Callithrix jacchus: one gene and its partners. The protein of the gene in region 4 purifies or fractionates together with the protein of the main gene of each other region. This does not show direct contact. Links are inferred from orthologs where the notes say so. Each region holds a gene or a part of one and is shown on either strand. Other genes may lie near its edges.

The links.
Region 1: the proteins of SLC30A4 (region 4) and PDS5B purify together in Homo sapiens (affinity purification with mass spectrometry; 3 studies listed by BioGRID and IntAct, counting the BioPlex papers as one, with this or other methods). This does not show direct contact. The link is inferred for Callithrix jacchus from reciprocal best matches to the Homo sapiens genes SLC30A4 and PDS5B.
Region 2: the proteins of SLC30A4 (region 4) and STX8 purify together in Homo sapiens (co-immunoprecipitation; 3 studies listed by BioGRID and IntAct, with this or other methods). This does not show direct contact. The link is inferred for Callithrix jacchus from reciprocal best matches to the Homo sapiens genes SLC30A4 and STX8.
Region 3: the proteins of SLC30A4 (region 4) and PDS5A purify together in Homo sapiens (affinity purification with mass spectrometry; 3 studies listed by BioGRID and IntAct, counting the BioPlex papers as one, with this or other methods). This does not show direct contact. The link is inferred for Callithrix jacchus from reciprocal best matches to the Homo sapiens genes SLC30A4 and PDS5A.

Annotation. Positions count from the first base shown.
Region 1 is NC_133506.1:152,029,116-152,036,162, reverse strand, and holds part of PDS5B (sister chromatid cohesion protein PDS5 homolog B), read right to left. Parts: intron 5,767-7,047; coding exon 5,327-5,766; intron 5,238-5,326; coding exon 5,127-5,237; intron 2,624-5,126; coding exon 2,485-2,623; intron 436-2,484; coding exon 400-435; 3' UTR 1-399. UniProt on the Homo sapiens protein: Regulator of sister chromatid cohesion in mitosis which may stabilize cohesin complex association with chromatin. May couple sister chromatid cohesion during mitosis to DNA replication.
Region 2 is NC_133506.1:76,055,663-76,063,324, forward strand, and holds the start of STX8 (syntaxin-8), read right to left. Parts: upstream 4,670-7,662; 5' UTR 4,658-4,669; coding exon 4,641-4,657; intron 848-4,640; coding exon 748-847; intron 1-747. Other genes in the region: CFAP52 (cilia- and flagella-associated protein 52), read left to right, coding at 5,551-5,620. UniProt on the Homo sapiens protein: Vesicle trafficking protein that functions in the early secretory pathway, possibly by mediating retrograde transport from cis-Golgi membranes to the ER.
Region 3 is NC_133504.1:153,854,800-153,862,500, forward strand, and holds the start of PDS5A (sister chromatid cohesion protein PDS5 homolog A), read left to right. Parts: upstream 1-3,015; 5' UTR 3,016-3,127; coding exon of another isoform or gene 3,128-4,342; coding exon 4,343-4,480; coding exon of another isoform or gene 4,481-4,599; intron 4,600-7,701. Other genes in the region: uncharacterized protein LOC144581690, read right to left, coding at 3,128-4,599. UniProt on the Homo sapiens protein: Probable regulator of sister chromatid cohesion in mitosis which may stabilize cohesin complex association with chromatin. May couple sister chromatid cohesion during mitosis to DNA replication.
Region 4 is NC_133509.1:33,028,556-33,036,053, forward strand, and holds the start of SLC30A4 (putative proton-coupled zinc antiporter SLC30A4), read right to left. Parts: upstream 4,121-7,498; 5' UTR 3,964-4,120; intron 3,826-3,963; 5' UTR 3,712-3,825; coding exon 3,321-3,711; intron 1-3,320. UniProt on the Homo sapiens protein: Probable proton-coupled zinc ion antiporter mediating zinc import from cytoplasm potentially into the endocytic compartment. Controls zinc deposition in milk.

The DNA of each region.
Region 1 (7,047 bases), on a different chromosome or scaffold from region 4:
CAAACACTGACAGATTACTGCTTAAGATCTATCCTAACAAATTCTTTTCAAATTAATAGATCCAATAAACAGCTGAGTACTGTCAGTTTAAAGCCGCAGATAAAAGCTATACAAGCACTTTAGAAGTCAGAAACATTAAAAAAAGGAAAAAATATTTACAAGTTTCTTATGTCTACATAGCCATCGCACATTACACTTCCACAAGACTCCATAGTCAATGTTACCATGCGTATGGCTAAAGCATGTGACCACAAATGTATGGGGTCACCAAAGGTCCAACTGTCCACTCTTCAGCAGTCCCATTTTGTGCATCAAAGGCTTTATTCGGCCTCAAGCTTGACCCAAAAAAAGAAAGATTTTTCCAAAGCTTTCACAGAGAAAGTTATTAATTACATTTGTTCATCGCCGTTCCCTTTTAACACTTCGCCGCCGTACCTTAAAAGGAAAGTCATCAAATGCTTAATTAAAATGTGTATATGTATATAAGACATGCAGTAATCATTTTTAAGCAATCTTTTTTCTCATTTGTTCCTGATTTCCTTTGCTTTCCTTTCCCTGAAATTTTTTATCTTTGCTTTCTGCCTTGGCATCATATATTTAGACTTCTATAATATTTGAACCCTTAAATGCTCATAGACTTTCCCAGAACAGCAAAAGAAAAAATTATTTTACTTTTCTATCTAATAATTTTAAAGAGAAATGAACAGAAGTCAATGTCCACAGCAAGAAAAATAACTGCAAGCATATTAATCATCTTTCTACTTATATTTCATGTGGTAAATGAAAACATTTCAGATTTATGAACTTACAATATCTTTCTGGAAAAGTAGTTACTGAGTTTGGATCTCAACCAACTATCAATACGGTAAAATAACCTAAATTTCAAACATACTAACTGGCAAGCACTAATGAAAGCACAAGACTTTAGATGAAAAAATGTCAATATTAACAAGAATATAAAAAAGACAGGGTTTTGATTTACTTTGTAGTTTTTTTCTGATGAAGACATCAATCATTAACTCTTCAGCCTTACTTTAATGTCCCCCTAAAACCCTTAAAGAAACAAGCCAAACTAATTTGAGACCACAATTGGGCATTTTTTCCTGTGTTAATTTACTCATTCACAAAAATGAATCCTGAGACAGCCAAGAGTTCTGATTCCATTAAATAGGACAGAACAGCAGAGACCAATTCTGAGACTTAATTACAGAGCTTGGGTTTCTCAAACAAAGATGGCTGGCTGAGCAGATCTAAAAGTTCAGCATTAGTACATCAAAAGAAGAGCTCCTACTTAAATGTATTATATTTTTTCCTAAGAGAACTATCTGAGTTGTATTAACTGGTAAATTTATTTATTTATTTGTTTATTATTTTAAATGTCAGGAAGGGCCGGGTGCAGTGGTTCATGCCTGCACTTTGGGAGGTCCAGCAGGCAGATCACCTGAGGTCAGGAGTTCAAGCCTGACCAACATCTTAAGACTCTGTCTCTACTAAAAATACAAAAATTAGCCAGATGTGGTGGCAATGGCCTGTAATCCCAGCTACTCGGAGGCTGAGGCAGGAGAACTGCTTGAACGTGGGAGGTGGAGGTTGCAGTGAGAACAGATCGCTCACCACTGCACTCCAGCCTGGTGACAGAGTGAGACTCTGTCTCAAAAACAAAAACTTTTTTAAAAAAAGTAAGGAAGTAACACATCCCTACTTTTGCAAAGTAAGTATGTATTACCAATTTTACGGATTCTCATTCAGCTCATACTTCAATTCCAAAGGCTGATTTTATTCTGTGTAACTAACTTGTAATTCCTATTATGAAACCCAAATAGAAATACCGAACACAGTTGCGAAATATAAACAACAGTATACTTAACAGGTATCAGTACCCTAAAATCAAGGTACAACTTAAATGTTTAAAGTGTCAATATTAGAATGCTCTACATTCAGTTCATACTTAACATTTACATTCTCACTAAGCTACACCTATTCAATTAGTTTCAGGTTTCCATAAAAGATTTTCTCCATTATGCAAGCTGGTAGATAAAACAATGCTATAAATTAATGAAGAAAAATATACAAATACTTACAATTATAACAAACAACAAGTACTAAATGATCTAACCAAATATTTACCAACTCAAAAAAAAAGTTTTGTGCTTTTTTTTTTTTTTGAGGTGGAGTCTTGCTCTGTCACCCAAGCTAGAGTGCAGTGACACAATCTCGGCTCACTGCAGCCTCTGCCTGCCGGGTTCCAGCCTTTCTCCTGTCCCAGCCTCCTAGGTAGCTCGGATTACAGGCACACACCACTATGCCTGGCTATTTTTTGTATTCTTAGTAAAGATGGGGTTTCACCATGCTAGCCAGACTGGTCTCGAACTTCTGGCCTCAGGTGATCCGACCGCCTCAGCCTCCCAAAATGCTGGGATCACAGGTGTGAGCCCAACTCTAGTTTTATATTCCACATCACTCACAGAGACTTTGAACACATACATTTACTGTGGAAATTTCCTCTTCCTCTGTTTCTTCCTGTGGAATATCATCATTGACAGGAGAGCTACCCTGAAACACATCTACTTCTTCACTTGAATCATTTTCCTTAGTAGCTGCTTGTTTGGAGCGTCCTACACGGCTAGAGTAAAACACACATAAAATACAATGAATGTTCCAATCTTTCAGTAGATTACCTCGTTAGAAGAAATGCTTCAAGTATTTCATTAACTGTCATCATGTTTACCCTCAATTACCTTACGAGACAAGAAAATTTCTTTAATATTCTGAATCCTAAACCAATGTTTAATCATAGAATTTTACAAATTATCAACCAAGTAACAACAATAAAAATTGTAACTGAGTCCTTCCCATAAAGGAATGCAAAACATAACTCAAAGTTGCTTTTCCTTTCTATCTTTCCTAAGGCAGTAAAAGGCATCAATGTCTTATGAGCTGCTCAAAGCAGAAAGGAATTCTGCTTTGAATATCGTGTACCAGTCTTTGTCTGGCCTTACAGATTCTTAAAGTGAGCTCAAATCGATTCACTTCTCTCCATATCTCCATTGCTACCACCTAATTCAAACCATTCCCATCTCTTACATCTTCTCTTTACAAAGTTATCTTTTAAAAGTACAAGAATACTTATCTTGTACTTTACAAAGTTATCTTTTAAAAGTAAAATTTTACTTTTACTACCACTACAGAGCTCCCCCTTGAGCTGAGAATAATCTTGTAAACCTCCTTAACACAGTATACAAGGACCAGTAGATGGTCCTTGCCTACCTGTTCATTCTCATCCCTTTCGGGTCCCTAACTCCCCACAACTACAATCCAGCAAACCCTTGCCTTCCTTTAGCTTCTGATTTTGCCAAGACTTTTCTCACTTCAGAAACTTCAAATACAGTGTTCTTGCCACCTCTTCTCTTCCTGTCTGACCCCTACTATTCTCAAGATATCAATTCATTGTTACTTTCAAAAAGTAACAACTCTTTGAAGTTGTTTGGAGTTACTTCCTCATTCCATTAGACAGTGGAAGACAAGAACCATGTCTGTTTTGTGTCCCTAGCACCTACTACTCTCTGAAACACAGGAGGCATCAAAAATATGTAATAGAACCATTGAGTCAAATGGATACCTCTTGATAAATATTTATTTTTAAATTAGAAACATAACATCACTTCGATAAGCAATCCAAAATATGTATTATTTAACTCATGCTCAAACCAAACAATTTTTTTTTACTTGGTTTGCTTTTTCAGCATTAATGAAACTATAGAAATTACATGAAAAATAATGACAATCCTTTTGAATTTCATTGAGGTCAGAATAAGATAAAGAGACAAATCCTAATATATGTTATCATACTAGCTCTAAAAAGAGCTTACCAGTGAAAGGAAGATAGGCTTCCAAGACAGACTTCAGAATCTTCTTCTGTACTGATTTTTGTTTTTGTTTTTTTTTTTTAAAGAAATACTTGTTTGGTTTAGAACTTTCATAGGAGGATTTGTGTAATTTTAGGAGAACACAATCATTTAAACCCTGAATTTTATCATGTTCGAATATAAACAAACTAAAGTTATGAGGTTATTTCATTGTTACATCATGTATATTTTATTAAATAAAGGATTTAAGAATCTTTTGTTTAGAAATAGTGATTTCCTTTGGTTGAATCCAAACATATTTATAAAGCTGCCCCAAAAATGTACTTACCTTTACTTTTAACCTGACAGAAAAATTACATGGAAGATGGCATGAAGTACTGGCTAGACACCCAGGCAACTTTTCCTCTTCCTGTGGAATACACAGGAATAGGAAAATCTCTAAGATAATTGAGTATTTAAGGACAGTATGTTGGTAACTCTGAAAAGTCAGGCCACTGATGTAATTATGTATCGGTGGGAATACGCTCAGAAAAAGTATGCTAAATTTTGTATGACAAAGAGAAGACATAACTAAGGAGAAAAAATGCTGTCAAATCTACAAATTACAGTGCCGATTTCTCTTCTGACCTTAAAATTTGGGGTACAGATTGTTACTATACCTCTCTTATAATTGTATTTGTGTGAACATCTGAAACTATATATATGTTGATATAGATAAATGAATTCGATTAGAAAACAAACAAAACCTTGAGACCAACATGTCAAATACTTGAGACCAACACCGGGGACCAACATGTGATAATTTCTACGGACATAGTTTAGGAAAAATGGTACCTGTTATTTTCCTACTACAAGTTCAAAAAACAAAAGCAGAAGTGCAAGACCTGTTTTCTTTTTTCAAAGGAAAAGGTGCTAACGAGAAACAATTTTTAAAAACTGTAGCGTGGAATGACGGGACAACCTGGTCAATGTGTGGTGATTTTTTAAAAAATGCCTTATTTCTTTAGATATCATCAAGTCTGTAAGGAAATAATAAACTATTTGTTATTCATTTATAAAGATTTGCCTACACCTATAAAAATGTACAAAATAGTTCATTGGGCTATCAATCACCAAGGTAAGTTTATAAAAATGTTATCTTACCTAGTGTAATGGGGCTAAATACATGGAATTTAAATACAGCAGTATGTATGTTTATAGCTTAAGGAACTTTTGCAAAATAATTTGAAATTGGTTTGAAATTTAACATTTACAACTTACACATTTTTTTTTGGTTGTGATGGTGATGGCGTTTTTGATGGTCTTCCTCGTCCTTTCTGTGGTGTGGATTGTGTGGATTCAATTGCACTAGATTCAGGAGATTCTGCTCTGCTTTGGGAAGACCCAAATGTGGATAGCATCAAATTATGATTTATAATATAGTAATGAAATAGATACAGTTTAGAGTTACATATGCTTACCTCTGCTGTGCTCTCCTTGACGCTCGGTGCTGTTTGCTTTTGGACTTCTGTTCCATATTTCCACTTTGTCTTTCTTCTTCTTCTTCCTCCTCTGCTGCTGGAGGTCCAGATTTTTTTTTGCTTCCTTTTTTAGAAGTTTTCATTGTTGGCTCTTCTTTTGGTGTTCCTCCACCAAGAGGTTTTGGTGGTCGGCCTCTCTTACCCTTTTTTGGTGGACTATTCTGTTCATCCTCATTTTCTAATATATCTTCTTTGAGCCTCTTTTCCTCAGACCACTGCTGTTCATCAGATTCTGAAGCCGTATGGCCTCTTTTCCGACCTCGCTGATTGCCTTTAGGTTTCTGTTCCTGTACCAACTTAGTCAAGTCATCCATACCTAATTTCTCCTCCTGTTCTGTGACGGGTGTTTTCTTCCTGCTTCTAGGTTTCTCCAATTCAGACTAGGGGGGAAAAAAGTCACAATTTATGGTTACGAAGCTGTGAGTATACATATTTTGAGGAATGAAACAACAAAAAAAATCTGGTATCTATTGTTGTCCTAAACATGTACCTCAAGTATACAGCTCTTAAATACATCAAAACTATAACTATTTTAATTATAACTAACTGATTAACAACAGAAACAACAAAAATACAGCGGCTTTCACATTTAAAGTAAAATCTTAGTCTATACTCAGATAATTTATGTGTGAACCAGCATGAAGACTGAAGAAATTCTCCAAAGACCCAAGAATAAATTTTATGTTTGAACACTCATGATACAAAGTTAATTTCCAAAAAGTCTGTAGCAATTTGTATTTTCAAAAATCATTGAAAAGAAAAACAAAAACTATCGAATTATCTGTAACTTTTTCTAACTTTAAATTGAGTTTCCTGTGTGTGAACTGTCTAATTACATCCTCGGTATTGTGTCCTTTGCCGGCTTTGATTACTGGAGTGTTAGTGGGTTTTCTCTATATTCATCTATGCTTTTGTGTATGCTTCTATGCTTATTTTTAAGTGTTGCTTCATTATTATTATTACTACTACTATTTGAGATGGAGTCTCGCTCTGTCACCCAGGCTGGAGTGCAGTGGTGCAATCTCAGCTCACTGCAAACCTTCATCTCCCCTGGGTTCAAGCATTCTCCTGCCTCAGCCTCCTGAGTAGCCAGGACTACAGGCGCGTGCCACCACACCCAGCGAATTTTTGTATTTTTAGCAGAGACGGGTTTCACCATGTTGGCCAGGCTGGTCTCAAACTCCTGACCTCGGGTAATCTACCTGCCTTGACCTCCCAAGGTGCTGGGATTACAGACATCACTGTGCCTGGCCTTTAAGTGTTACTTATTTGCTATGGACTGAATTGTGGCCATCACCACCAGAAAAAAATTGTATGTTGAAGCTCTAATCCCAATGTGACAGTATTTGGAGATGGGACCTTTGAGAGGTATTTGGATGACACCAGGGTGGAACCATCATGATGAGATTAGTGTCCTTATAAGAAGAAACATCAGAGAGCTTGGCTGCCTTTCTTCTTCCCCTCACCCCCAACTCCCCTGTGAGAACACAGTGAGAAGGAGGCATCTGTAACCAAGGAAGAGAGCCCTCATCAGGAATCAAATCTGCTGGCACCTTGATCTTGTACTTCTAGGCTCCAGAATGCTAAGAAAATGCATATCTGTTGTTTAAGCTACCCAGTCTGTGGTATTTTATAATGGCAGCCTGAGCTGACTAAGACAT
Region 2 (7,662 bases), on a different chromosome or scaffold from region 4:
CTACCCACCTCAGTTTCCCAAAGTGTTGGGATTACAGGAGTGAGCCACCACACCCCATCTGTTTTTACATTTTTAATGTAAAATGTAAACTTATAACTTTCCTTGTGGTGATAATAGAAACTCAAAGACTTGAAGACATTGTCTCTTGGCCTGCAAAGACTAAAAGATTGATTATGTAGAGGAAGTTTACTAACCCTTGAACTAGACTATAAAATAGAAATGTTTGGCCGGACGCAGTGGCCCACACCTGTAATCCCAGCACTTCAGGAGGCCAAGGCAGGCAGATCACCTGAAGTCAGGAATTCAAGACCAGGCTGACCAAAATAGTGAAACCTCATCTCTACTAAAAATACAAAAAATTAGCCAGGTGTGGTGGCAGGCACCTGTAATCCCAGCTATTTGAGAGGCTGAGGCAGGAGAATCGCTTGAACCTAGGAGGCAGAGGTTGCAGTGAGCTGAGATTGCACCATTGCACTCCAGCCTGGGCAACAGTGCAAGTCTCAAAAAAAAAAAAAGAAATGTTTACGGTAAAACAGGAGAACTTAAATATGTTATGTTTCATTTAGTCTCAATGATTACATAACTATTAACTGGTTGGCTGTTATGTCCATTCAACACATGTAAGCAGATAGATCATTATACACACATGTGCACGGAGAGCCTCAAAGAAAGATAGGAGGGTTGTTTGAGTTTTCAGATCTCAAAACTCAAACAAATCATTGTTTACTAATTCCCTCCTGGCATTACCTTTGGTGTCTTTTCACCTTTTCTTTCATACTGATTCCGTTGTTGAATTTTCTCAGCAATTTCTTGGGCAATTTGACAAGTAGAATCATATGTGGAGAACCTGCACCAAAGTCACAAAAAGAGAAAATGTTTAAGGTTATTTTTTTGTTTTTCTTTTTGTTTTCATAAGGAGTGTGGCTCTGTGGCCCAGGCTGGAGTGCAGTGGCGCAATCTTGGCTCACTGCAACCTCCATCTCCTGGGTTCAAGTGATTCTCCTGCCTCAACTTCTTGAGTAGCTGGGACTGCAGGCATGAGCCACCATGCCTGGCTAATTTTTGTATTTTTAGTAGAGACGTGGTTTCACCATATTGGTCAGGCTGGTCTATTTAAGATTCTTTAAAAGAAATTTTTGCATTGTCTACAAACAAAAGGGGAGAACAATAGCATTACCAGTAAAAGCAACATGGACTGAGTGGTATTTACTATGTGCCAGGCACTATTCTGAAGGCTTCATTAGTAATAACTCACTTAACCTAAACAGGAACACTACGAAGTGGGTGCCATTACTATCTCCATCTCATACAGGAGAAAATGAGGCACAGAGGCAGAGTGACTTGCCCAAGTGGTACTACCCGCTGCAAACCAAGGCTGTCTGACCCCAGAGCTGGGGCTCTTAACAACTGTCATTCTGCCAATGATAAAGCATTTGGGGGCCTCTGCTGTACTGGGCAGTGGAGAAGAGAGCAGTGAACAGAATGAACACAGTCCCTGCTTTCACCGAGCTCATATTTTGGGGAAAGAAACTCATAAAACAAATACTATGACAGGTGTTGACAGGTGCTAAGAAGAAAAATGCAGCAGGACAAAGGGACAGAGAGTGATGAGGAGCTATTTAGAATCAGGTAACACTGAGGCAAGGTGAAGAAACTGGCCTCAGAGACGCCTGGGGGACAGCTCTAGGTCAATACAGACCTTAAGTCTGATAAGAAACATTTACAATCTATTCTCCCTAAAGCCTGCTACCCAGAGGCTTCATTTGCATAATAAAACCTTGGTCTCCACAACCCCTTCTGATAACCCAGACATTCCTTTCTATTAGTAATAACTCAACCAATTGCCAATCAGAACATTTTTAAATCTACTTACGACCTGGAAGCCCCCTAACCCCCTTTGAGGTATCCTGCCCTTCTGGATCGAGCCATCATAAATCTTACATGTATTAATTCATGTATTATTCTCCCTAAATTGTATAAAAGCAAGCCCCAACCACCTTGGGCACATGTCTTCAGGACCTCCTGAGGTTGTGTCTCCAGTGCATCCTTAACCTTGACAAAATAAACTTTCTAAATTGATTGAGACCTGTCTCAGATACTTTGCAAGGGTCTTAAAAATGTTCATAACCCCCAGGTGCAGTGGTTCACACCTGTAATCCCAGCACTTTAGGAGGCCAAGGTGGGTGCATCACCTGAGGTCAGGAGTTTGAGATCAGCCTGGCCAACATGGTGAAACCCCGTCTCTACTAAAAATATAAATATTAGCTGGGTTTGGTGGTGAGCACCTGTAATCGCAGCTACTTGGGAAGCTGAAGCAAGAATCGCCTCAACCTGGGAGGTGGAGGTTGCAGGGAGCAGAGATCACGCCATTGCACTTCAGCCTGGGCAACAAGAGCAAAACTCTTGGCAACAGAATTTTTTTCTCTCAAAAAAAGTTCATACCCTTGAACCCAATAGTTCTATTTCACTTTCAACGGTGTAATGAGAAATCCAGTTAGTCAAACTAATTGAGAATAACAAAAAAAGGATAAATGCTTTCACTTTCAACAGTTCTAATTCCTTCTTCGAGGCAAGGAGCCCAAGGAAATAAGAGATGGAACAAAGGGACTGCCTTTGAGATGAAAAAAAAAAAACAAAACATCAAAAAAACAAAACTAATACTAGGAGAAAAATAAATAATGGTCATTCATGTGATGCACTATTATACAACATAAAAAAATTATGTTTTCGCCGGGCGCGGTAGCTTACACCTGTAATCCCAGCACTTTGGGAGGCCGAGGCGGGTGGATCACGAGGTCAAGAGATCAAGACCATCCTGGTCAACATGGTGAAACCCCATCTCTACTAAAAGTACAAAAAATTAGCCGGGCATGGTGGTGCGTGCCTGTAATCCCAGCTACTCAGGAGGCTGAGGCAGGAGAATTGCCTGAACCCAGGAGGCAGAGGTTGCGGTGAGCCGAGATCGCGCCATTGCACTCCAGCCTGGGTAACATGAGCAAAACTCTGTCTCAAAAAAAAAAAATTATGTTTTCAAAGAATGTTCAATTACATAGAGAAATGCTGTTGTATTTTATATATATATATATATACAAATATACACACACACACATATAATACAAATTAAAGTAACAAGTTCATTGTTTAAAAAAAATCAGTAATGGGCCAGGTGTTGTGGCTCACGCCTGTAATCCCAGCACTAAGAGAGGCTGAGTTGGGTGGATCACGAGGTCAGGAGTTTGAGAACAGCCAGGCCAACATTTTGAAACCTGTCTCTACTAAAAATGCAAAAATTAGACAACATGGTAGTTCACACCTGTAGTCCCAGCTACTCGGGAAGTTGGGATAGGAGAAACGCTTGAACCTGAGAGGCAGAGGTTGCAGTGAGGCAAGACTGTGCCACTGCACTCCAGTCTGGGTGACAGCAAGACTTCGTCTCAAAAAATAATAAAATAAAATAAAAAAGGATATGGCTGGGCACGGTGGCTCATGCCTGTAATCCCAGCACTTTGGGAGGCCAAGACGGTTGGATCAGAAGGTCAGGAGATCAAGACCATCCTGGCTAACATGGTGAAACCCCTTCTCTACTTTAAAAAAAAAAAAAAAATCAATAATGGCTATTTCCAAATTATAGAGTTAAAGATGCTATTTATTTTCCTCTTTGCAAATTTTCAATATTCTGTAAATTGAATACTCTCTATCAAGTGGTGTATATAACTGTTAAAATTAGGTTCAAAAAATCAATGTTAAATAAATGGCCCAAATAACCTAGATTCCAGGTAACTCAGCTTTGTTCTTGGAATCCATTCTTCTAATACCGAGGCTGTCGGCAACTTAAATTATCAACTATATTAGAAATAACAATATAAGACATATATTCCAACAAGAGCGTTATGGAGCTGTAATATGTTTTTAATTATTAAGCAGAAAGGTCAAGTCTATTATGCTATAACGGGATGTTCCTTGGGATCAAAACTTGCATCTTTCATCATGCAGTCCTTGCGATTAATTGCTAAATAAATGACCCTATCACCTACTATTTTACTGCAGACGCTACTGCTAAAAGAAAATTCTTCAGGGTATTAACTCAAGAAAGTGTAAAATGCCTTATAAACAAGTGCACGATTTCCCTCCCAGATTCCTGTAAGTATCTGGAAGGGCCCCCAAGATCTAGGTCTTAGTCCCAACTGGTTACTAATTGGCTGGTGACCATGGACTCCGAACCTCGGTTTCTCCACCTGCGAAATAAGGGGGTTCACCGGATGGACGGGCACGCTACAAAAAGGTTATTTTGACTTCACTTTTATAGGAGTCCAGGGAAGCCTGAACCGGCCAGCTCCACAACCAAGATGGGCGGGAAATCCCCGCGGCGAGATGCAGCCCAGAAAAGCTAGAGGAATATTTAGAGATTTGGCTCAAGTCCTCAGCTCTCCAGCGGACCACCCGTTCTCCTTCCCGGGCCACCCTGGCAAGGACCAAGGGTGGCGGGAAGTGGCTGAGCCCCCTCAGTAGAGGAAGGGTCTCGTTGCCTCTCCCTTCACCCGAAATCCCTCCAACGGGCGCGCGAAGTGATCGCCTGCTCCCCGGAAGCCCGGCCTCCCCGAAGGTCCCTCAGCGCACCGCCGCCTTCACCCGGGGCTCACCAGGGGTCCGGTGCCATAATGCAGACTCCGCCCGCCGCTCGGATTCTTCCTGCTCTTAGCAGCTGACTACGGCGGCCCGCGCGGCTCACTCCCCGCAGTTCGTCCCGTACGCGACCGGAGCCCGGAGTTTGCCAAGTGAATAACTAGGGCCTTAGAACCACGATCAGAGAAAGGGAAGTGCTTCCCTGGGGACAGCAGGTTGGAGCAATCTAATCACACCAAGAGATGCGAACTGCTGAGCTCAGTTAAAATTGTGAACAGAAACTAAGCATTTTCCCAGGAAGGTGGGAGCGCTGTAAGACCTCTCTCTCTTAACAGTTACTTAAAAATTCATCCTGCTTCCAAAACAAAACAACAAACAAAAAACTAGATTGCGGTGAGACTTGCACCCTATATAAACTTATTACAACCTACCTTAACTTTCTGATCTGTACATTATACCTCAATAACGCTTTTTTAAAAATCTTTAACATTTTTTTCACGCAGCTTCAAACAGGGGCCCAAAGAAGTATCAATTACATATTATTTTATAGCAGCCATCCCATCAGTCCTTTACGCTTGATTACTTATTTTTTAAATGCCATTCATTTGGTGCTTGATTTTAGAGTTACCAGGAAGTCACAGACTCTTTGCACGAGGGGATGGAGGAATTAGTTCTGTGCAGTCAGTGCCATCCCCTAAATTTCCAGAGAAATAGCACACACAGAAAAGAAGAAGAATCATCTCAACCCCATCCCTCCTCCCAGCCCCAATACCCCTTATTTCCAAGAATGCTAATGAACTCAAACTCGGCAGGGTGGGTTACTGCGCGGGCGTGGAACTGGCGCGCATGCGCTCGCCCGTTACCATAACGACCAGGAGACGCTACACTTATCCGGTCGGAGAGCAAAATAAGCAGAACCTCCCAGAGATGGATAACAAAATTTCGCCGGAGGCTCAAGTGGCGGAGCTGGAACTTGACGCCGTGATCGGCTTCAATGGTGAGGCTTCCAGCATCTCTAGGCTGGCTGGTTTAGGAACTCGGAGGACGCATAGTGCAAGCAGGAACAGTGAGACAACGAGGACATCTGAAAAGCAGTGTGGGACAACGGCAGGAGCCCTGGACAGGGACAAGCACAGGAGGACCCACACAGCCCGCCCCGCCCCAAGGCCTTGGAGAGTCACTTCCTCGCTCCGAGCCTCAGGGAGTGTGGGGTGGTTTTTACCAGCTCGGACAAGCGCAGGCACCTAAAAGGGACCTCATGCCTCCTCCCCAGGAGGGACGGATGAGTAAGGGTGGTTGGAACCCTTCTCCCGCTAGGTCTGCCATTCCTGGCTCTGAGCCCCACGCTGCTCTCAAAGCCCTAGGCCCCCCTACAGAAAGATGCTGTCTGTGTCGGCCCCTGGGACTAGCTAGGAAATCTGCTAAAATCCCGGAGGGCGTACCAGCAAGAAAGCGCTGGGTGTTTGAGCAACCCCCTAAGGGGATGATCTAGGTTCTCTAAAATCTTAAGGAAGGTTTCTAAATGGTGAGGATTTCAGACCAGGACAGCAAGGGAAGGGGACGCCAGGGGGAGCTGAAGGGGAAGAGACGAAGGGTCTAGGTCGCTCTGCTGAAATCTTATTTGTGACTGCCTGTTGTTTTGAACATTCAGGGAAGAAAAAGCTGCTGTGGGGTTTTGTTGCTAGTTTTGAGAGGTTTTGGTTTTCTGAGGGATGAGAAAACAATGAATGAGATTTTAGGAGAAGCAAAACTTTTTTTAAAATGTGCGTTGTGATGCCTGAAAGCGTTAAGAATGTGGATGCAGAACAATCACTGTCTAAAGTTTTAAGCATACTCTAGGACTTAGCTCTTGAATCGGTTTTACTTTAACCGTCTCCGATAGAAAGTGAGCGCTTTACCGGGCACGGTGACTTAACGCCTGTAATCCCAGCACTTTGGGAGCGGGCAGATCACGAGGTCAGGAGTTTGAGACCAGCCTGACCAACATGGTGAAATCCCATCTCTACTGGAAATACAAAAATTAGCTCGGCCTTGTGGCACGTGCCTGTAATTCCAGCTAGTTGGAAGGCTGAGACAGGAGAATCACTTGAATCTGGTAGGCAGAGGTTGCAGTGAGCCGAGATTGGGCCACTGCACTCCAGCCTAGGCCAGCGAGGCTCAGCTGAAAGAAAGAAAGAGAGAAAGAGAGAGAGAGAAAAAGAGAAAGAAAGAAAGAAAGAAAGAAAGAAAGAAAGAAAGAAAGAAAGAAAGAAAGAAAGAAAGAAAGAAAGAGCGCTTTATACATTTCGGATATCAGATATCCTGAGAGCCGATTACAAGATCATTGAGAAAGAATTGAGCATCACTTATTGAGTCAATGTAGGACCACACACACAGAGAACTCTGCAACTGAATTCATGCTGTGGTTGCAGAGTTCTAAGTGCAAATACAGGGTAAATTATATGCCAATGTCTTCCATGGCAATTACTAATTATCTTTGCCTTTTAGAATGACCCCATATGATCAAATTGTTGTTACCTTGGTGGCTTTATATTAATGTATATTCTTTCACACAGTCAAATCTATACATGTGTGTATAACCTCTATGCAAAGTAATACCTTATGGACTAAGAATACAGGGATAATTCCATAGCCATGCTTATGAGGAAGAGTTTAGAAAACTGGAAACATACAGTAAAACTGAAAGAAAAATCAGCCATCATTACATTTTTCAAACATATCACTGTAAATTTTTGGTGTGACCCGCTTGAATATACATTTACATACAAATAGTTTTTTTTTTAAATAAAAGTGCCCTCAAGCTGTATATGTTCTCTCTCTCTCTCTCTCTCTCTCTCTCTCTCTTTCTTTTTCTTTTTTTTTTTTCTTTTTTTTTTTTTTTTTGAGACAGAGTCTTGCCCTGGCACCTAGGCTGGAGTGCAGTGGTGTGATCTCGGCTCATTGCAACCTCCACCTCCTGGGTACAAGCAATTCTCCTGCCTCAGCCTCCTGAGTAGCTGGTATTACAGGCATGTGCCACCACATCCAGCTAACTTTTTG
Region 3 (7,701 bases), on a different chromosome or scaffold from region 4:
GGCATGCCTTCATTTGTGAAACAATTATTTAAAGAAGCCTACAGTATAAGGCATTGTTTCTGGCACTGAGAGAGGAAGAAAGCTAGGTGGTGGCCAGGCATGGTAGCTCACACCTGTAATCCAAGCACTTTGGAGGCCAAGGCGGGCGGATCACCTGAGGTCGGGAGTTCAAGACCAGCCTGACCAACATGGTGAAACCCCGCCTTTATTAAAAAACAAAAACAAAAGCTAGGTGGAGGCCCGGTGCAGTGACTCATGCCTGTAATTCCAGCACTTTGGGAGGCTGAGGTGGGTGAATCACCTGAGGTCAGGAGTTCAAGATCAGCCTGGCCAACATGGCGAAACCCTGTCTCTACTAAAAACACAAAAATTAGGCCAGGCGTGGTGGCTCATGCCTATAATCCCAGCACTTTGGGAGGCCACGATGGGCGGATCACATTAGGTCAGGAGTTTGAGATCAGCCTGACCAAAATGGTGATACCCTGACTCTATTAAAAAAAAAAAATTAAAAAATTAGCCAGACATAGTCGCGGGTGCCTATAATCCCAGCTACTCGGGAGGCTGAGGCGGGAGAATTGCTTGAACCCGGAAGGCAGTGGTTGTAGTGAGCCAAGATCATGCCACCACACTCCAGCCTGGGCGACAGAAGGAGACTCTGTCTCAAAAAAAAAAAAAAAAAAAAAAAAGCCGGGTATGGTGGCACACCTGTAGTCCCAGCTACTTGGGAGGCTGAGGCACAAGAATTGCTTGAGCCTGCAATGCCAAAGCTGTAGTGAACCGAGATCACAGCACCGCACTCCAGCCTTGGTGACAGTGAGACTTCATCTCAACAAATAATAAAGTAACGTAAAAAATAAATAATAAAATCTATGATATACAAAACTCCATTTAATAATAAGCAAGCTATTGCAGAGAATGAAAAATAAAATCATTGCTTTTTAGTTATTTAAACACAACACATAAGAAACATCAAAATTGATAGGGAGAGACTAAAAAGAGAGCTACTTTTTGGTCCACCTAACAGTTTGGAAGAGGACAATTTAAAATGGATTCTGCCTGGTACTGTAAATGCCCAAGAACAAAGCACTGACTTTTTGGCAAAGTTCTAGCAAATCAGAAACCGTGGAGTGTCAGATTCTCAATGACTGCTCCCTCGTGTAATACCTCAAAAACAAGTCAGTGAGCTGCAGTACCTTTACTATTTTTTTTTTTTTTTTTTGAGACGGAGTTTCGCTCTTGTTACCCAGGCTGGAGTGCAATGGCGCGATCTCGGCTCACCGCAACCTCCGCCTCCTGGGTTCAGGCAATTCTCCTGCCTCAGCCTCCCCAGTAGCTGGGATTACAGGCACGCGCCACTACCTTTACTATTTTTAAACTGACTTAAAAGATGTAAGAAAAAAATAGACCAGGAGAAGCATCCCAGCAACCCAACCACGGCCAGTCTTCCCTGGACACCATGAACCACACGGTCCAAACCTTCTTCACACCCGCCAGCACCAGCCGTCCCCGGAACTATGAGATGCTGAAGGAGGAACATGAGGTGGCTGCGCTGGGGGCGCCCCACAACCCCGCGCCCCCAACATCCACCGTGATCCACATCCGAAGCGAGACCTCTGTGCCCGACCACGTCGTCTGGTCCCTGTTCAACACCCTCTTCATGAACTCCTGCTGCCTGGGCTTCATAGCGTTCGCCTACTCCGTGAAGTCTAGGGACAGGAAGATGGTTGGCGACCTGACCGGGGCCCAGGCCTACTCCTCCACCGCCAAGTGCCTGAACATCTGGGCCCTGATTTTGGGTATCATCACGACCATTCTGCTGATCATCATCCCAATACTGATTCTGCAAGCCTATCAGATCAGAGGAATCATCCCGGCCAGGGGCTCTGCCGGTGACCTGTCTCCCATGTACTCCAGCTTCCATTCCTCGCCCTGCCCCCAGCCGACCCTGTATCAGCCTTTTAACCTCACACACTTTTCCACAGTTGTGTTCAATAAAGTGCACATGTTCCTGGAAAAAAAAAGAAAAAGAAAAAATAGACCAATGGGTATCCATCAAGAATAATTTGAATAAACAGTCAAATATCATTTTAAACTATGGTAGTGGTCAGTTTCATATTATTGTATCCTTTTCGGAAATTTTGTGTATCCTTTTAATTTTTAAAAAAAATAATTGTATGTTCTTGCGTTTGTTTCAATTATATACATTAAATTGCTTAAACACTGCTGTGTGCACTGTTTTTAACTGATAGTTGTTTTCCTTTGGATGCCAGAAAACGTTAATGCTTGGTAAGTTTAAAACACTAAAAAAAAAAAATGAGTTCTTTCTTATTGAGAAGCACCCACCTAATTAGTAAATGCTTATTTCTGCGTTCCACTCTCAGAGATCCTTTTTTTTTTTTTTTAATGTTTGAAGTTGGAGACGTACGTTTTCAGCCAGTACCCAAAGTGATTGTGAGGCCTGGTGGCCCAAAGACATACCTTGAGAACGACTCGAAGCAATGCTATTTTCATGTTTTGCAGCTTTCAAAATGCTAACTTCAGAAATCGAAGGAGGGTGGGTAACTCGAAAGACTGTCAGAATACCCGAGAGTGAGCCGCTCACGCAGTGCCGGGTTGCACAACTTTCCTTTACTTTGCAGATCTCTCCCTGGGGCGGAAATCATTTCATTTTCACCAAGCAATTAACCATCTTCCAACCAGTTCCGTCTACGTCCCTCATGATGACCCCCAAAAGTCACCAGCTCATCCCCGCGGCGGAAGATAAAGCGCTGTTTGCCCTGCGTGCCCTCGCAGGGTCGCGGGGCCGCGGGAACCTGGGTTCGCTTCCCGCCACCCGGGCTCCTCCTCTCCAGGCCCTGTCGGGTCGGGTCCTCCCCGAGGCGCCCAGCGCGGCAGGTCTTGGCGCCAACCGGGTGGCGGCGCTGTCCGCCCTGCGCGCGGCCGCTTCGGGCCCGAGGGAGGCGGATGCACGGCCGGCGGAGGAAGGGGAGGGAGCGAGGAGCGCGCACTGCTCTCGCGTGCTCTCGCGCCACTCGCGTGACCGGCCGGTGTGTGCGCGAGGCGCCGGCTCCCGGGGCACGGACTGCCGGGCGCGCGCCACTGCGAGGGGCGTCCGGGTCCGAGTCGGCTACCCGGGCCGGCGCGAGGTGCGGGCGGGCGGGCTGCGGGGGTCCCGAGCGGACACACGCACACAGGCTCCCGGAGGAGCCTTCTCGGAGGCTGCTCTTCCTCGGCCAGACGGAGAGCGGCACTGTCTCCCCGCCCAGCGCTCACTCGCCCCGCGTCTCCCCCCGCGGCGGCTGCTCCTCGGCACCGCCAGCCCCAGCGCCGCTCCCGGGCGGGCGGGTGGCGGCGGCGGGACCCGCGGAGCCGCTTTGTGTGCAACCCGACGAGGGGCGGCGGCGCAACCACCTGACAGAGGCCCGGGCGCTCGATGCACCTTCCGCCCGCATGAGGAGGAGGTAAAGGCGGCGGCGGCGGCTCGGCTCCCGCCCTCGGCTGCTGGAGGGAGGGGACGGAAGGAGAGACAGAGGGGGGGCCGTGGGTCCGAGGCCCGGTGGGGCCGCCCGGGGGTGCGGGGAAGGCCTCGGCGGTGCCGGCGGCGCCAAGCGGCAGGGAGCCAGAGAAGCCGTTGGGGTCCCTCAGCCGAAGTTGAAGGAACAAAATGTGAAGTGCGGAGCCGCGTCAGCCGCTTCCTGGCGTGGGGCTGGGGGTGGAGGGCGGCTTGTTTTCCCCTCCCGCGGGGGTGAGGGAGCGGAACCGAGGAGGGGCGGCAGCGCGGCGGGGACTGCCCGGAGTCCGAGGCTCGGCTGGGCAAGGGCGTTTTGTTCCCGGGAGCCGCCACTGCGCGTGGGTCCGCTCGGTCCCTAGTTTTGCGGCCTAAGCCGAGCCCTATAGGCCTCGCGTCTGCTTTCCTGGAGAGGACTAGTCGGGCGGGACTCGGCGCTTCCCTCCAGCCAAGTGGGGGCCTTGGGGTCCTTATCAACCTCCTGAGGCCGCCAAACTTCGGACCTTGGTGCTCGGGGGTGGATTTCATTGTGAAAGGGGGAAAGGTAAACTCCTGGCGCTGTTCGCTGTCTCCCGCGGCCGCGGCGGCTGGTACCGGGAAGCCCAGTGAGCCCCGGGCTGGCTGGGCCGGCGCTGGCGGGGTCCGAGCCCCGGGAAAAAGCGGGTGGTGGGGCCGCTGCCGGGTCCCCGGCCTCCGGGGAGAAAGAGCCTTTTCCAGATTAGAGAGATTTGAAATGAAAAAAGAGGTTAGAAAGTCGCCCCTTTCCCGCTGAACTTTGGTTTTCTGACCGATAGAGGCCGGTAGAGGACTGTGAACGAAAAGTTGTCCCCCAGGATGGACTTCACCGCGCAGCCCAAGCCTGCCACTGCCCTCTGTGGCGTCGTGAGTGCCGACGGGAAGATCGCTTACCCTCCGGGTGTAAAAGAGATCACCGACAAGATCACCACGGACGAGATGATCAAACGCCTGAAGGTAAGCGTCTGGACGGATTGTTCGCTCTCTGGATGTCTTGGTAGCAGGTGCTTTTTCCTGTGATATGGCTACTCTGCTCGGTCTGGCCTTTAGAGTTCCAAGTTTTTTAGATGTCTTACCTCCTCAGAAAGGTATTGTATCACTACTACGTCTTTGAGTAAGTTTTCTAGTGACATAACCATTGTGAGAAATTTTAAAAGAGTGTGATTTAAAAGAAAAAAGTACTGGTTTTCAAGCATAAGAATTTGTGTGTTTTTCGTTTTTTTCTGGAGATATTTAATGAGAATACTGTTCAGAGTGGCTTGCAAACCTAAATGTAGGCAGGAATTTGCCTAAGAAGTTTCCTAGTTTCAGCCTGTGAGGGGGATTGATTAAAGCACAAAGTCCTTTTTAAAAATTGGCATAATTTTCTAATATCCAGAAGCTTAAATATGTATATAGTGTGGTTAAACTTTGACAGTAGGTACAGACTTCTCAAAATTGAGGTTTAAAGTTAGATGTTTTAAATCTATACGTTCAAAGGAGTTTAAGAGTATTACGGCTCTTTTTATGAGGCGTCAGCTAATTTTGTTTAAGCATGGCAGTCCGAAGGTTAAGGTTTTAAATTTCAACCTTATGTTGGTTAGTTTTTTTGGTTTCTGTGTCACTGACATAGATCGTGGCCAGAATCTTACCAAATAAGTGATATTCTTGTAGGATCAGCTTGAAGCAGTGGTTTTCAGTCAGGGCAACTTTGACCTCCAGGAGATATTTGGCAATGGTGGAGACATTTTGGTTGTCATAATTGGTGCTAGATTGGAGTAGGGAATGATTTGAGTAAGAATAGACCAGAGGCAGTGAGTCCAGCTAGGAAACTAAACAGTAGTCTGGGTGAAAGACATTGAAATCTTTAGGCAGGGCTTTGGCATTGGTAATAGTGACTAGGAAATGATTTAACAGACTTTTCAGAGTTAGAATCAATCAGAATTGGTGGGAGGTAAGGGAAGGAATATTGTCAATGTTTCCACCTTGGGCAACTTGGCAAAATGTATTTTAGGGAATAATTTTGCCCTCTTGCTCTTGGAGCCCAGTAAATATATCTAATGTTGCATTTTAATGAGTATAGTATTTAAAATATTCCTACGGTTTAGCTTTCAAAACTAAGTTGCTTCTACAATTTGCCTTTTGGAAGGAATAAGACAACAGTTCCTTTCATTAAAACAAATATTTTTATTTTTATTTTTTAATCGAAACAGGGTTTCACCATGTTGGCCAGGCTGGTTTCTTTTCTTTTTTTTAAAGACGAGGTTTCACCATGTTGGTCAGGCTGGTCTTGAACTCCCGACCTCAGGTGATCCGCCCCCCTTGGCCTCCAAAGTGCTTGAATTACAGGCATGAGCCACCACACCCAGCCCAGTTTTTTTGTTTGTTTGTTTGTTTGTTTGTTTGTGAGGGCGGGTTGGATCTCTGTCCCTCAGGCTGGAGTGCAATGGTGTGATTTCAGCTCACTACAACCTCAGCCTCGGGATTCAAGTGATTCTCCTGCCTGAGCCTCCCAAGTAGCTGGGACTACTGGTGTATGCCACTATGCCTGGCTAATTTTTTTTTGTATTTTTTCTTTTACTTTTTTTGAGATGGAATTTTTGCTCTTGTTGCCTAGGCTGGAGTGCAGTGACGGAATCTCCACTCACTGCAACCTCCGCCTCCCAGGTTCGAGCGATTTTCCTGCGTCAGCCTCCTGAGTAGCTGGGATTACAAGCATGTGCCACCACACCTGGCTAATTTCTCCATGTTTAGTCAGTTTGGTCTTGAACCCCTGACCTCAGGTGATCTGCCTGCCTCAGCCTCCCAAAGTGCTGGGATTACTGGCATGAACCCGGCCATATATGTTTTCTTTTTAATAAGGCAGAATTTCACTGTGTCTGTCAGTTCGTTTCTAACTCCTGATCTCAAATGATCCACCTGCCTCACCTTCCAAAGTGCTGGGATTACAGGTGTGAGCTGCTGCTCCTGACCCCTTTCACTAAAATAAGTCTTGGCCTGGTGTGGTGACTTGCGCCTATAATCCCAGCACTTTGGGAGGCTAAGGTGGGCGGATCACCAGGTCAGGAGATCGAGACCAGCCTGACCAACATGGAGAAACCCTGTCTCTACTGAAAATGCAAAATTAGCCAGGCATGGTGGCACATGCCTGTAATCCCAGCTACTCGGGAGGCTGAGACAGGATAATCACTTGAAGCTGAGAGGCGAAGGTTGCGGTGAGCCGAGATCACGCCACTGCACTCCAGCCTGGCGACTCTGTCTCAAAAAAAAAAAAAAAAAAAAAAATCCTGTGCCGGGTGCATTGGCTCATGGGCAGATCACCTGAGATTGGGAGTTTGAGACCAGTCTGACTAATGTGGAGAAACCTCATCTCTACTAAAAACACCAAATTAGGTGGGTATAGTGGCACATAAATCCCAGCTACTCAGGAGGCTGAGACAGGAGAATCGCTTGAACCTGGGAGGCGGAGGTTGTGATCAGCTGAGATTGTGCCATTGCGCTCCAGCCTGGGCAACAAGAGCAAACCTCTGTCTTGAAAAAGAAAAAAAAAAAACACAAAACAAATCTTAATACTAAAGATTATACATGAATTGGGGTGCTTGATGGATGCCTCTAGAAGTTACACTAAGTTATGAAATATAAAACTTAAACAATTTGTGGATCTTTAATTTTTATCAAGTTTTCAAATTAGGAATATTGAAACCTTGAATTCTAGTGGTGGATAATCTGGTTAAAAAGTGGAAAGTTGTGGCTGGGTGCAGTGGCTCACATATGTAATTTCAGCACTTTGAGGGCTGGGGCAGGAGGATCATTTGAGCCCAGGAGGTTCAGACCTGGGCAACATAGTGAGACCCTGTCTCAGTTTTATTTTTTTAAGGTGTGGTGGGGAAGTTATGACTACTTATATACATTTTCTGTTTGAAAACATTATCAGAAGTACTGTTAACGATAAATGGACATACAATCCAATCGAGAATGATTATCCATTTGTTGAGTTCTTTTGGAAGTTAAAATTAACATTTATATCAACCAACTTTAATGTTCTGCCAAAATTTTTTCTGAAAAATTCTTTTGATTTTTTTGAAATCCTTCTGCCTTCCTATTTTGACTTTCTACTTTTAGGGATCCCTGTTGTTGTTGTTGTTGTTTTTTAATTTTTAAAATTTTATTTTTGGGGGGGTTTCCTAGGGAACCCCCTC
Region 4 (7,498 bases):
TTCCCTACCAGGACCTGCCTGATCTCTTCCTCCTAACTCTTCCCTCATGGTTACACACTGAAGCCAAACTGGCCTTCTTTCTAATTCCTTTTGAAGAATTGAAGACTTTAGGACCTTGGTACATGCTGTTGTCTTCTCTCAGAAAACTCCCTCACTCTGTTTGGGTAACTCCTACTATTCTTTTTTTTTGGCTTAAATATACCTGGTCCATTGATAAACTATGTCCTACTGGTTACTATGTCTTATACTACCTTTTTCTTTTTCTTCCTAACACTTGGGACCATCTAAATTTTAAATTTACTTACACGTTTAATGTCTGTCTCTTCCATTGGATTAAATTCACCAGATAGTAGGGATCATAATAGTTTTTTGTCCACTGTATATTCAGAACATGGGGCACATAGTGTAAGTATTCAAAATATACTTCCAAAGAGAAGGAAAGAATGGATCTTGACCAAGGTCTCAGAGCAAGTTAAGTGGCAAAGCCAACCAAGTGTATCTCAGATCTTTAAATTGCTTCATTTTTTCCCCCTTCTTTTTGAGACAGAGTCTCACACTCACCCAGGGTGGAGTGCAGTAGCCAGATCTCTGCTCACCGCAACCTCTGCCCCCTGGGCTCAACCAATCCTGCCACCTCAGCCTCCAGAGGAGCTAGGACCACAGACACATACCACCATGCCAGGCTAAGGTTTTCTATTTTTGGTAAAGAGAGAGTTTCGCCATGTTCCCCAAGCTGGTCTTGAACTCCTGAGCTCAAGCAATCCTCGGTCTCCCAAAGTGCTGGTATTACAGGCATGAGCCACTGCGCCCAGCCACATTGCTTCATTTTTTATTATTCTATACTTCCTACATAAGATACTTCCTACACCTGGCCAAACTGCTCCTTTTTTTTTTTTTTTAGATGTAATCTCACTCTGTTGCCCAGGTTGGAGTGCAGTGGCACGATCTCAGCTCACTGCAACCTCTGTCTCCTGGGTTCAAGCAATTTCAGGGTAATTTTTGTATTTTTAGCAGAGACGGGGTTTCACCATGTTGGCCAGGCTGCTCTTGAACTCCTGACCTCAAGTGATCCGCCCACCTTGGCCTCCCAAATGTGCCAGGATTACAGGTGTGAATCATTGTGCCCGGCCAAATTGCTTCATTTTTTATTATTCCATACTTCCTACGTAAGATGCTTTATTTTTCTTTCTTTCCTTTTTTTGAGACAGAGTCATACTCTGTCACCCAGGCTGGAGTGCAGTGGAATGATTTTGGTTCACTGCAACCTCTACCTCACAGGTTCAAGCAATTATCACATCTCAGCCTCCCCAGTAGCTGAGACTACAGGAGCATGCCACCACACTGGCTACTTTTTGTATTTTTAGTTGAGACAGGGTTTTACCACATTGGCCAGACTGCTTTCCTCCTAACCTCAAGTGAGGTTGAAGATGCTTTATTTGTAAGCGCTTTGAACACACTTTAATAAATGCTCTATTATATACAATTTAATTCCGTGTAACATTCTGAATATTTTGTTGTGGTTGTTTTCTTTCTTTTTTTTTTTTTCTTTGTGATGGAGCTTCACCCTTGTTGCCAGGCTGGTCTGCAATGGCACAATCTCGGCTCACTGCAACCTCCACCTCCCGGTTCAAGGGATTCTCTGTCTCAGCCTCCTGGGTAGCTGGGATTACAGGCACCTGCCACCACCCTCAGCTAATTTTTTTTTGTATATATATATATATATATATGTATGTGTGTGTGTGTGTGTGTGTGTATATATATATATATATATATATTTTTTTTTTTTTAGTAGAGACAAGGTTTCACCGTGTTGGCCAGGCTGGTATTGAACTACTGACCTCAGGTGATCCACCCACATCAGCCTCCCAAAGTGCTGGAATTGCAGGTGTGAGCCACCATGCCCAGCCAGGGTGTCTTTTAAAATAAGACACCAAATGACAAAAAATTGGCGAAGAAAAGATTTGGGAAAGGCAGTCTATGTAAAGCAGTGTTTTCCAAACTACAGGCCCTGACCTACTGCAGTAAACCATGAAATACAGTTAGTAAGCTGGGACCACAATTGAAAAACTATTAGGATACATCACATGAAGGAAAAATTTTGTTTCAGTTTTATGTATATTTATACATGTGACCTGTGTGTATTCACATACATATGTGTGCATGCATGCCTACCTGAGTCACAATGTGAAGTGTATTTCTTACTATAGTGAGGTCAAAAAATGTCTGAAAGCCCCTGAGATAGAGGGACCAGCTACTTTGAATGACCTAGGGGCAAAAAGAGCTTTGTGAGTTGTAGGAGGAAAAAGGCCTGCATGGCTGAAGTGAACCTGGGGAGAAATGTTATGAAATGAGGTAGGAAATGTATATAATTTTTCCTACATAGAACTGTCTAGTCAAGCATCTTAAATCTGGACTGCCATCTGTTTTTTTCATGGTTCATCATTAAGAGATAACATGGGAGAATCACCTCCTTTTAATGTCACTTTGTAAATGTCACTGAGAAGTTAGTAGTTATACTGATGTGACTGAAAATAACCTCTAAACTGAGTGTATCTTATATTGAAAATGGAGTGTTTAATATAATTAAAAAATGAAAAAGAAAACCAGGCTTATAGAACTATGGCGGAGTCCCATGGTTCATTTCAGGCCCTCCTTATAATGAAAAAATTTCATGTTAGTTGGTAATTAATTTTGCAAAACTCTTGGCTATAAACACAAAAGGAAATAGTATAAGAGAAACCACTTAGGTCAAATGTAGAGGAAAAAATGCTGGGACTGTAGATGCGGCTCTTCCATTAGATGGCCCTCACAACTTATTTCACCTGTTTGTGCCCTGGAAATCCTTACATGTAAAAGGAAAAAAAAAAAAAAAAAAAAGAGGAGGTGGAGAACAGGTGTTCAGTAAGGTCCCTTCATACTGTAAAATTCTATGATCCTAAGTAATTTACCATCATTTACTATTTTAAACGCTGCAAAAATTAACCTGGTATTTTATCAGAATTTTGTAAAAAGAGGAAGTTATGTGACATATAATGAAGATAACGTCCTTAACTTTACAGTAGGTGACAGTGTTTGAAGAACTAGAAGACAAAGTCAAAGTTATCTCGGGAGTAGTAACAAAAAAAAAGTTATCTCGGGGTGTTTATGTTGTACTTAGATTGAGCTGCACTTTGGAACCGTGTGGCCTTTTCACATGAGATCAGTGTCTTCGTAAATACAAACTTCCTGAAAAGATGGTTTAAACCGCAAAGCCTGTGTAACTACAGCTGACAAAGACTCTCGAGGAAAGGTAAAAGGGGTGAGTTGGCAACACAACTCACCTACAAGTTCTCCAATCATGAAAAGCAAGTAAAGAACCGCAGCAATGGTCAACCTGGTTTTCACCTTTCTCTGCTTCAGTATCTCTCTCTGTTTGCTGCAGTTGTCACAGGAGTCCACCTTCAAACTCAGCTGACTGTTGGTCAAAGGTAGGTCCTGGTCCAGTAAGGAATCATCGTCGGCCTGGAGGGTCCGGTGCGCCCCGTTAACAGGCCTTTCCGGGGCTTCGGAACCATCATCGGCCACCACAACTCGAAGTTTGTTGAACCGAGAAAGCCCCTCGTCCCCCGCCTCATCCGAGAAGTCAAAGGCGCTGGTGTCATTTAAAAACAGCGGCGCGTCATCCTTCCTCAGCAGAGATTTGAGGCGCTTCCACGCGCCAGAGCCGGCCATGGCAGAGGCTGAGCGGCCGCGGCGCAGAACGGCTGGCGGGAGGCGGACGGCCGGCGGCGCCTACTTCACCGGAGTGCCAGTTCTCGACGGCAGTGCCGCGCGTCCCTCCCCATCCTGTGGAAAATGAAACACGTTATAAATTAAAGGCGCCCAGCCCTGTCCTCAAGTTCCGAAGCCGCGAGCGGCGGGTCGCAAGGTCGGCCCCGAGGCTTCGCCGGGGCTCCGCGAGGGGGCGGCGCATCTATTTAATACCTGGGGCGCTGCCGCGGGGCTACAGCTCATTTCCCCGCCCCCGGCCGGCTAGGCGAGGCCCGCTCGCGCTTCTCCACTCGGGCCGGGGGAGAGCCGGGTCGTGCTCGCGCTTATCGCGCCCGCCGCGCCCGCAGCTGGAGGCAGGCTACCCGGGTCTGACAGGTTCGGGGCGGGACGCCCAGAGCCACCGCCTCTCCCCGCCCAGCGCGAGGCCACGCGCGTGCGCCCGCCGAGGAGCGCGAGGGAGGGGTCGGCGCGAGGACACGCAGGCCCGGCGCGCAGGGCTGGGGCGCCGGCGAGGGGCGGGGGCGTAAGGCCCGCCGTGCCCCGCCCCTCGCCTCGAGCCTGACTTAGGGGCCTCTGCTCCGCTTCCGCCCAGGGGGCACTTACTGACGAACTGAGGGGACTCCGGGCGGCCCCTTCCACCCCTTCAACCTGGGAGGCAAGTGCGGTCGGAGGGTCACGCCGGGGGCTGGGCGTTGCTGCTAGGAGTTCCCTCCACCAAAAGTGGGTCTCAGGAATCTCGGTCGGGATCTGGGTTGCTGGTGCTCCGCAGAAGACAAACCCAGTACTTTTCTTGTCAACTGGAGAGGCAGCTTTTCTCTCTTCGAGTTGCTTGCCTCTGGCAAATTGGCAACATTTGCTGCACAGTCAACTGGAGAAGGCAAGGCTGTGGTCGTCAGCAGTTGTACTGTTTTTCAGCAAATATGTATTGTCCTCTGTGTTCTCTGCCCTGTTCCTTTTGCCTTCAAGGTATTTACGATGTGGACTAAACCCAAGCACAGAAAATCTGCTACAGGCATACCTCAGAGATAATTGCGAACTTGGTTCCAGAACACCGCAATATGGCAATAAAGTGAGGTCTCACAAATATTTCATGTCCCAGTGCACATACAATCGTTTATAATGTAGTAAGTGTGTAATGTTATGTCTAAAACAATGTGCATACCTTAATTGATAATATTGGGAGAGAGGGAGGAAAAAGTATATGTACATTTGTTATTGCTCTGAGGCAGGAGGGTCACTTGAGCCCAGAAGGTCGAGATGACAGTGAGCTGTGATTATGCCTCTGCACCCCAGCCTGGAGACAGAGTGAGACCCTGTCTTTAAAACAAACAAGTAAATAAAATACTTGACTGCTAAAACATGCTAACAATCATCTAGGCCTTTAGAAAGTCATATTCTTTGCTAGTAGAGAGTTTTTGCTCCATGTTGATGGCTGCTGTCTGATCTGAATGGTGGCTGCTGAAGGTTGGGGTGGCTGTGGCAATTCCTTAAAATAAGACAACAATGGCATTTGGTACATTGATTGACTTCTGTTTTCATGAAAGAGTTCTTGATGGCATGTGATGCTGATAGATAATATTTTACCCACAGTGGACCTTTCAAAATTGGAGTCAATCCAGATTTCTCAAACTCTGCCTCTGCTTTATCAACTAAGTTTATGGAATATTCTAAATCCTTTGTTGTCATTTCAACAGTGTTCACAGCATCTTCACAAAGAGTAGATTGTATCTCAAGAAACCACTTTCTTTGGTCATCTATGAGAAGCAACTCCTCATCTGTTCAAATTTTATGAGATTGCAGCAATTCAGTCACATCTTCAGGCTCCACTTCTAGTTCTCTTGATATTTCCACTGTATCTGCAGTTACTTCCTCCATAGAAGTCTTGAATCCCTCAAAGTCATCTATTAGGGTTAGAATCCACTTTGTCCAAAATCTTGTTAATGTTGATATTTTGACTCCCCATGAATCATGAATGTTCTTAATGGCATCTGGAATAATGAATCTTTTCCAGAACTTTTTCAATTTACTTTGCCTGGGTCCATCAGAGGAATCAATGGCAGCTATCACCTTATAAAATGTATTTCTTCTTTTGTTTTTGTTTTTATTTTTATTTTTTGAGATGGAGTTTTGCTCTGGTTGCCCAGGTTGGAGTACCATGGCATGATCTTGGCTCACTGCAACCTCTGCCTACCGGGTTCAAGTGATTCTCCTGCCTCAGCCTCCCAAGTAGCTGGGATTACAGGCACCCACCACCACACCCGGCTAATTTTGTGTATTTTTAGTAGAGACTGGGTTTCACCGTGTTGGCCAGGCTGGTCTCGAACTCCTGACTTCAGGTGATCCACCTGCCTTGGCCTTCCAAAGTGCTGGGATTACAGGGGTGAGCCATTGCACCTGGCTGAAATGTATTTCTTAAATAATAAGACTTGAAAGTCAAAATGATTTCACGTTCCATGGGCAGCAAAATGGATGTTACGTTAGCAAGCATGAAAACATTAATTTCCTGGTACATCTTCAGCAGAGCTCTTGGTTGACCGGGGACATTGTCAATGAGCAGTAATATCTTGAAAGGAATCTTTTTTTCTTCTGGATAGTAGGTCTCAGTAGGCTTAAGTATTCAGTAAACCATGCTGTAGTAAACAGATATGCTGTCACCCAGGTTTTGTTCCATTTATAGAGCACAGGTAGAGTAGATTTAGCATAATTCTTAAGGGCCCTAGAATTTTCAGAATGGTAAATGAGCATTGGCTTTAATGTAAAGCTGCTGGCGGCATTTAGCCTCTAACGAGATAGTAAGATCGTCCTTTGAAGCTTTGAAGCCAGGGATCAGCTTCTCTCTAACTATGAAAGCCCTAGGTGGCATCGTCTTCCAATAGAAGGCGGTTTCCCCGTGTAGTTACTATTAATTATCTTAGCTAGACCTTGTGGACAACTTGCAGTTTCCCCATCAGCATTTGCTGTTTCACCTTGCATTTTTATGTTATGGAGATCGCTTCTTTTCTTAAACCTCAAGAACCAACCTCTGCTAGCTTCAAATTTTTCTTTTTTTGGTTAAAAAAAAATTATTTATTTATTTTTTAAATACAGACAGGGTCTCACTATGTTGCCTAGGCTGGTCTGGGCCTTTCTAATTTCCTTCAATAACTTTTCCATTTTCCAGAGTCAAACCATAAAGGTTTAAAACAAACAGACAAAAAAAAAAAATCTAAACAAAAAGAACTTTTTGTTTGCATCCACAACCTGGCTAAAAAAAATGCATAGCACTGGGCGCAGTGGCTCATGCCTGTAATCCCAGCACTTTGGGAGGCCAAGGCAGGTGGATCACCTGAGGTCAGGAGTTTGAGACCAGTCTGACCAACATGGTGCAACCCTGTCTCTACTAAAATTACTAAAATTAGCCAGATGAGGTGGCAAGTGCCTGTAATCCCAGCTACTAGGACACCAAGGCAAGAAGAGAAAAGAGAAGGCATAGCTTTTAGCCTATCTCAGTTTTTTTTCCCTTCCCTTCCCCTCCCTTCTCCTCCCTTCCCCTCCCTCCCTCCTTCCCTCCCTCCCTTCCTTTTCCTCCCTTTCCCTCCCTCCCTCCCTCCCTTTCCCTCTCTTCTCCTCTCCTCTCCTCTCTCCTTCCCTTCCCTCCCTTCCTCCCTTCTTCTCTTCCTCCCTTCCTCCCTTCCTCTCCTCCCTTCCCCTCCCTTCCTCTCCCTCCCTCCCTCTCTCCCTTCATCCCTCCCTCCCTCCCTCCCTTTCC